Linked DNA regions of Xenopus tropicalis. The protein of the gene in region 2 purifies or fractionates together with the protein of the main gene of each other region. This does not show direct contact. Links are inferred from orthologs where the notes say so. Each region holds a gene or a part of one and is shown on either strand. Other genes may lie near its edges.

Evidence for each region.
Region 1: the proteins of cdc25c (region 2) and sufu purify together in Homo sapiens (affinity purification with mass spectrometry; 4 studies listed by BioGRID and IntAct, counting the BioPlex papers as one, with this or other methods). This does not show direct contact. The link is inferred for Xenopus tropicalis from reciprocal best matches to the Homo sapiens genes CDC25C and SUFU.

The regions. Positions count from the first base shown.
Region 1 is NC_030683.2:29,282,452-29,286,273, forward strand, and holds part of sufu (suppressor of fused homolog), read right to left. Parts: intron 3,499-3,822; coding exon 3,360-3,498; intron 1,668-3,359; coding exon 1,599-1,667; intron 1,017-1,598; coding exon 927-1,016; 3' UTR 1-926. UniProt on the Homo sapiens protein: Negative regulator in the hedgehog/smoothened signaling pathway. Down-regulates GLI1-mediated transactivation of target genes. Down-regulates GLI2-mediated transactivation of target genes. Part of a corepressor complex that acts on DNA-bound GLI1.
Region 2 is NC_030679.2:47,996,551-48,000,372, forward strand, and holds part of cdc25c (M-phase inducer phosphatase 3), read right to left. Parts: intron 3,045-3,822; coding exon 3,015-3,044; intron 1,083-3,014; coding exon 1,049-1,082; intron 600-1,048; coding exon 525-599; intron 399-524; coding exon 300-398; intron 1-299. UniProt on the Homo sapiens protein: Functions as a dosage-dependent inducer in mitotic control. Tyrosine protein phosphatase required for progression of the cell cycle. When phosphorylated, highly effective in activating G2 cells into prophase.

The DNA.
Region 1 (3,822 bases), on a different chromosome or scaffold from region 2:
GCCAAGCGGACAGTACCACAAGGTAAGGCAAAAGTTTGAATGTAATTAGGATAATTAAAATACCCCAGTGCTTATACCTTTACTTCTCCTTTAAGAATGTCAGTGTTCAAGCACTGCTATAAATATATAAACCAGCTTCTCAATAGGAATGGCATAAAACTGCAATAATCATTACCATAAGGCAGGAATTCTTAACCTATGGGTCATGACCAAGAATGGGTCCCTGTGCTGTGTATTATGGGGCTCCATTATCTACTTTATTACACAAGACAATATCAATTAAAAAAGGCAATATGGAGTGAATATTATACCAACTCTAGGGTCCAAAGGGTGCCTCCCAGATTTAATCTGGGTCCAGCCATAATGACTGCTATGTAAGGGACTGACAACAGCACAACTACAGTTACAAAACTGTAAATAGCAACTTTTTTTTCCAGTCATGGAACAACTTTCCCCACCCATCTGGCTAAATGAAGTAAAATAGGCACTGTGCAACTTGCCCCACTGGGTACACAAAGGCAACTGGCATAAGATGATTTGGAGGCCAATGCCAAACATACGAATATGTTTTGGAAGCAGCTTATCAGGACTCATCCATATAGAATCTGAGACAACATTAATGATCAGACCCAACCCAATGTAATACATGTCTTGTCAAATTAGACAAGGTCATGCTAGTCCAAGGGAGTCTAAATGAAAAGACTCAGTAGTCAACTGAAGCCAAACACACATGAAACTGGCTGCTAAAAATATAAAATGGGGCTGAAATGTCATGTACACTCCAGCCTTCTCTGGGGGCAGAGATTGTGCAGTAATTGCTTTCCTTTGGCTTGGTTTCCAGCAGGGATGAAGCTGAGCTGCTGAATTTGGGGAAAGTCCACTGTGACGTCCCTGTATCTAACAGAAATGTTGGTGTTACTCCACCTTTAGTTGAGGGGGTTATCAAACACTGTGTTGGGTAGAATTGAGATTTTCAGCTTTTTTTCTGGCCAGCTGTATTCCTTCGGTAGTTTCATCTAGGAAAGAAAAGATGACTTTACTTAAAATACAGATTATCTGATTATTTACAATTTTAAACCCTCCTAATTGTCCTATTAATTTATCCATGCTTTAACTAAGTAAGCTTTATCACAAAGGTCTATGTAAATACAGCCATAAACACTTACAGTAATGCTGCACTAAGTCCTCTATTAAAAGAAACACAGGGTTACTGGTCTCTTTTTTTTGTAAACATTATGTTCCAGTGTCTGGCTTCCTCTCTCAAAAACATCCTTATTTCCCGGGGCAAGAGTCTGCGCAGTTCTCTCCTCTCTCCCGCTCCCCCCTTGTACCAGAATGCTAAGAACTCCTTCCCCCCTCCCTTAGGAATGTGTGATCTCAGCTATAACGGCTAGAGACTGCAGTCAGACAGATGAATATTTTGCAACAAAAGTTTGTTATATGGTTTTACATGGGAAAATAAACATTGAAAATTAGCCCAATTACAACAATGTTTCAAGTAAAGTAAATAGTTCCATACTGATACAAAAACAATAACCAAGTCATCTGTTAAAATATGTTAATATTTAATTTTTGCACACGGGCCTATGACTGCTTACTTCCTCTAGAGAGCTTAAATCTTCTAAGTCTTCCAGCATTTTGTCAACTAACTCCTCTGTCAAGAGAATCTGAAAAGACAGAAAGACAGTTTTAGGTTCTTGACAGATACAATCCAAGGCTGTACATCTACAAACTACATATCCAAGTTATCTTCTGATCAAGAAAGTGAGATGATTGGTACCTGTTGACTAGAATTTGGAAAACATTAAAAACATTTAAAAACATTTGTGTTCATTCATAAAGCAGTGTCTGCCGACAGGTAATCTGTTAAACCTCATCTACAGTTTATAGCAAACTGGTTGCTTAATGTGAGTCAAGTTAATGTCCAAACACACCCAATTATTTTGAGAATTCTGACCTTGACTGCAATATGCAGAGCACAGAGGTCCCTGCTTGGGTTGCTACTCTGAAGAATTTAAGGGCTCTGGCACACGGGGAGATTAGTCGCCCGCGGCAAAACTCCCTGTTCGCGGGCGACTAATCTCCCCGAGTTGCCTTCCCCCTGCCATCCCACCGGCGACTTTGCCGCGGGCGACTAATCTCCCCGTGTGCCAGAGCCCTAAAGGGGTGGCTCACATTCAGACTAACTTTTAGTATGTTGTACAATAGCCTATTCTTAGCAACTTTTCAGTTGGAGTTCATTTGTTGTAGTTTTTAAATTATTTGCCACCTTCTTCTTCTTCTGACTCAGCTTTTAAATATGGCAGCCAAAAAGCTATTGTTCTGTGAGGCTACAATTTTATTGTTATTGTTATTTTTTATTATTTAACTTTCTATTCAGGCCCGCGTCTATTTATATTCAGTCTCTCATTCAAACCAAACAAGCCTGGTTGCTTGGTTAAATTGCACTGTAGCAACTGGATAGCTGCTGAAATTCCAAATTGGAAATCTGCTGAACAAAAAGCTGAATAATTCCACAACAGCAAATAAAAAACCTAGACCAATGGCAAATTGCCTCAGAATAGCACATTATACTCACAATTAATTTAAAGGTGAACTACCCCTTTAATGTAAATTCACATCTACTCTGACCCAATCCATGTTAGTGGGCTAGATTATAATGAGATCATATAAAGCCATCTGGGAGCAGACCTCCAGCCCAAGGTTTCTATAATCAAACAGTCCTGTTTTATAGTATAAAAGATGTTCAAGCCTTCAGATTTCTATGCTCGAAAGCCATCACCTAGCATCAAAGGGGGGTTAGAAGTTATTGCTTCTGACTTTTGCATCCAGTGACTAACAATACAGACTGCTGCATTTTTACTGTTTCCATTAAGGACTAAAATGACAACGTATCAATTAAAAACAGATGTTTGCCATTCATCTGAAGATGGACTTATTCTTTTCACAAATAACTTTTCTGAGAAATCTGCAGGAGTCCACTTGACAATTCATAGTGATATCAATTCTTAGCCTTAGGCTTTCAGATGGCGGAGTTTCATAAAACTGGATTCTGACAGGCTCTGATTCTATTTAAATGAATCTCCTTTGCACATATAGCCTATAGGACATCAAAGATCTAGATCTTTTTTTATCGAAGATGCCAGTTTTTAGGCCTATGGCACACAGGGTAGTTTTAGCTTTGCGATAGTAAGTCCTAAATCACCCACCTACTGCTACTGCAAACTTAAAATACACCCCGAGTGCCTTAAAACTTACACTACACATGAAGATTTGTCTTCTATTTTTTTTTTTTTTTCTTTCCCTATGGGCAATTTTCTGCTTTCCTATTACCCAAACGTTAAATAAATAAATGTCACCTGTAGCCAGGGTCCATGTGCTGCATATGGATGCTCCTCTGTAGCAAAGGCTCCTTCTACTCCAGTAGACACAAATGTGATTGCTGTATCTCCAGTAATGCTTTTATATGTAAAGTGCCTTCCGTGCAAGAGCCTACCTCTGATTCAAAAAGAACAACATTGAGGTAAGAAAAATGTTTAGAAAATTTCCCAGAGCAAACTTTTCTTGTCCCACTTTCTATGACAACCCTATATATAATGTACTAGAAATGATGCATCAGTTTATATATTTTGTCTACTGTATGTGCATTGTGCTGAACACAGAGCAGTGGAGGAAATTACTCTGGTGTCAAATGCAAAAGGCAACAACAGCCACACAACAGAAAATCAATGTACAGAGAGAGTTGTACAGCCATTGTGCAATTTCTCTACTCTGTAGAAGATTACAAATATAGGTATGGAACCTGTTATCCAAAATGCTTGG
Region 2 (3,822 bases):
AATAAACTAATAAAAAAAATCATCCTATAACAGTCCCAAGAAAATATAATACAACAACATCAGTAGTTAACTCATCTCAGGCTGAAAATCAGACACTATAAAATGGGATAGGCTGCAAAGTCTCAAAAACTTTGTACTTCATGTACATCAGTTATTTAGTAGATATTGCGGCTATTGACAGCATATAAGAAAATGTATGTTTCTGGTTTGCTGTAACTCAACAGAAAATGTATGTGCCAGCAACAGAACTTAAATACATATAAATACTGAGATGGGAAGCACTGCACTGAGGCACTTACCTTGTCCTCTGGTGCTGGAGAGAATTGTGAATCGACTGCTTCTTGTGGCAGCACCAAAGCAACAGGTTTGCAGTTTGGATTTTTAAACAATTCACTCTCCTGAAAATAGCAACCATTAAAAAGAAATACACTTTGACACACAAACTAATACTTTACAGTAATGACCTCTTCCAACCGCTTTCACATGTTACTTCCTGAGGTCCAAAATTTCTCAATCTCGCTTACATTTTCCTTATTGGACATGCTTCTCTGTCCTCCTGAGGTCTTTTTAAAACTTGGAGTACTACAAAGAAGGCGAGGCTGGGTAAGGCAGAAAATAACATGTTTTGTTTAGTAAGAGGGTCTTAAAATGCATGTATTTATATGATGGTGATACATGAAAAAAAATCACTACAAAAGTGAATTAAATGACTACAGCTCGTGCCAGAAAGAGCAAATGAAAAGAAGAATACATTTCAATGGTTCAAGGATAACTGGCTAACTAGGCACCAGCAGAGAAGACATAAAAGTGCAGAACCTCTACAAAGGCAAATCAAACCAAGAATATATATTGCTTTATTTCATTTAGCAAACTAAAAAAACTATACATGCTCTAACCTTGACAAAATATATAATAATAAAAATGAAGGTTTCGCTGTCCCGCATGTAGTACTTCTGCCAAAAACAAATGTACCCATATAAAGAACCAAACAGCATAGACAAAAATAATTGTCTCTGTCTAAGGAATTACACTATACAAGGCCACTCACCAGAACAGAATTCATGTTTCCTCTCTGACACTTTCTGTGAAAAGAAAAGAAGAGTTATCTATAGATCTACAAATCCATATGAATAAATACGCCTGTAGATATAAGTTACCATGGCAGATAAAGAGCAGGATGAGCAAGTATGTGGCTTGGTGCTCCTCTGCATAATCTATTTCCAGAGAAAGCGGAGTTGTGCCAAGGCAAGCAGTGGTGACACACTTCCACTAATTTAAATCATTTAACCTATTCAGTTTCTTTGTAGGTCCAGGAATAAAGCAAAAACATAAGCAATTGAATTGCAGTACTAACCAGTCATACATCATTGAATTAAAAGGCAGTCTTTGAAAAGAGAAAGAGGGGGATTTTAAGGCACAATATTTGGCAAAAATTAGACCACAGCAAGTTTGCCACACCCATTATGGCAAATCTGAAGGTGGGTCCCTGGGATATCAAAGTTAGGCAACTAAGACTATTGTACCTTAATAGGTCTACCCATCAATGCTAACTCACATCATTCAAGTCAATTTTTGGTACTACACTTCAGATAGAAGAGAAGACTAGACGCTCAATTTCTCCAACATCAAAAGGGGGGGCCACAAAGCAGCCTGGGGGAAGGGGGCAAAGAACTTGTTTATAACGAGGTGCCAAGATATTAAAGGAATAAAACATGTTTTCTGCAAAACGCATCGGTTTTGATGCTTCTCCAGCAAAATCCTGCATTGAAATCAGTTTTCCAAGAATGCAAACAGATTTTCTTTATATTTAACTTGAAAATTTTACATGGGGCTAGCCATATTCTTCATTTCCCTGGTTGCCACAGCCATGTGACTTGTGCTCTGATAAACACTTTACTGCCACGCTGCAAATTGGTGTGGTATCTTCCCCCTCCCAGCGGCCGATCAGCAGAACAATGGGAAGGCAGCAAGATAGCAGCTCCCAGTAGATATCAGAATAGCACTTAAAAGGAAAAGTAACACTAAAAATTTTTTAACTAAAACTATTGATCAAGCCTAGCCTGACTCCTTCCTATACAGAAGGAAGGCTAGATCAATCGATCGCCGCATAGTGGACGCTTCCCCTGATACTTCACCTGCATCGCCGTATCACCTTTCTTCAAATGACCGGAAGCCAACTTTTAACAGGTATTTTGTACTACAGCATTCAAAATAATAAATGGTTTGTGGGATAGGGTAATTATTGGGGCAGGGTAAAATACATTTTTTAGTTAAAAATTTTTAGTGTTACTTTTCCTTTAATAGTAAGAAATCTACACGGGCCGATATCGGTCCCTAGGACCGACTGGGCAGCTTATCTGCCCGTGTAGGGGCAGAAAAGAGCGGCCAGGTTAAAAGTTTCAGTCGGATCGGGGGCCGCATCGGCTCGCTGATGCGGTCCCCGAATCGACTGCCCCATTGCCGCCTACATAATACGGTTGTTTGGCCCCAGGGCCAAACGATCGGATTATTTATTTATTTCTTTTTTTTAACTTCAAGCTCCCCGATATCCCCCACCCGTAGGTGGGGATATCGGGGGAAGATCCGCTCGCTTGGCGATCTCGCCAAGCGAGCGGATCTTACCGTGTATGGGGACCTTAAGTCCAGCTTGGGACTCCTCCAGTTATACTGAGTAGGAGAAACAATAGCTTGTTTAAATAGCTGCCTGAAAGCAGTTCTAATGTAGCGCTGGCTCCTTCTGAAAGATCAGACTCAGACACAATGCACTGAGATGGCGCCTACACACCAATATTGCAACTAAAAAAAAAAAAAAATACACTTTAAATTGTACAGGGAATTATTTTCTATGTAAACAGTGTAATCCCTTCAAGCAAACTTTTACCACCATCAACCATCTTACACCCACAACTCCACAAAGGTAAAATACAATAATTAAAACAAGTTTACAAGAATTATAAAAAAAAAAAAAAAAAGCTGCTAAACTAAAATAACAAAAATTTATTTTTTACACTTACTTGGCTTTGCATCCTAGATCTGGCGTAAATCTGCACAAAATTGAAGCAAAATAAATACTTTCAAATTGCAGTTTGATGCCTCCCTGTGGAGCCAGTTCTATATGCCAGCTAAATTAATAGATTGGCTTTGAAGGGACGGAGCATATTTCACAAGTACAACATTCTCTGACCACTGAAAGCCCCATGCCAAATAATTTCATATTGGAGGTCAGAGTGAATACTCATAGCAGAAATAAATATATTTTGTTACCTTTAAATTAACTTTTAGTGTAGTGTAGACATTGATATTCTCAGAAAATCTGCAACTGGTCTTATTTTTTTTTTTTTTTGTGGTTTTGCAGTTATTTAGCTTTTTGTTAAACAGCTCTCCAGTTTAGGATTTCAGCAGCTGGTTTCTAAGGTCTTTTTTTCCTTAGCAACCAGTCATTTGAATGAGAACATTAAAATAGGAAGATAAGGGATAAAAAGTAATAATAAAACTGTAGCTTCGCAGAGCAACTTTGGCTGCTGGGGTTAGTAACTTCCATGGAAAGCTAGAAAGATGAAGAAGAGGAAGGCAAATAATTCATAAAATAACAAAAACTTTAAAAATGAAGACCGATTGCAACATTGCTAGGAATGGAATTCTATAACATACTAAAAGTTAACTTAAAGATGACCCACCCTTTTAAAGCCTATTTTCCTCTGGCAGACAGCTCCTGAATTTTTGTACCAAGACACTGGGTTATGTCTGCATTTAAAAAAAAAAAGTGCTTTTTTTTTTTGTTGACAATCATGGTGACCTCTATCATTAAAGGTGCTATCAACA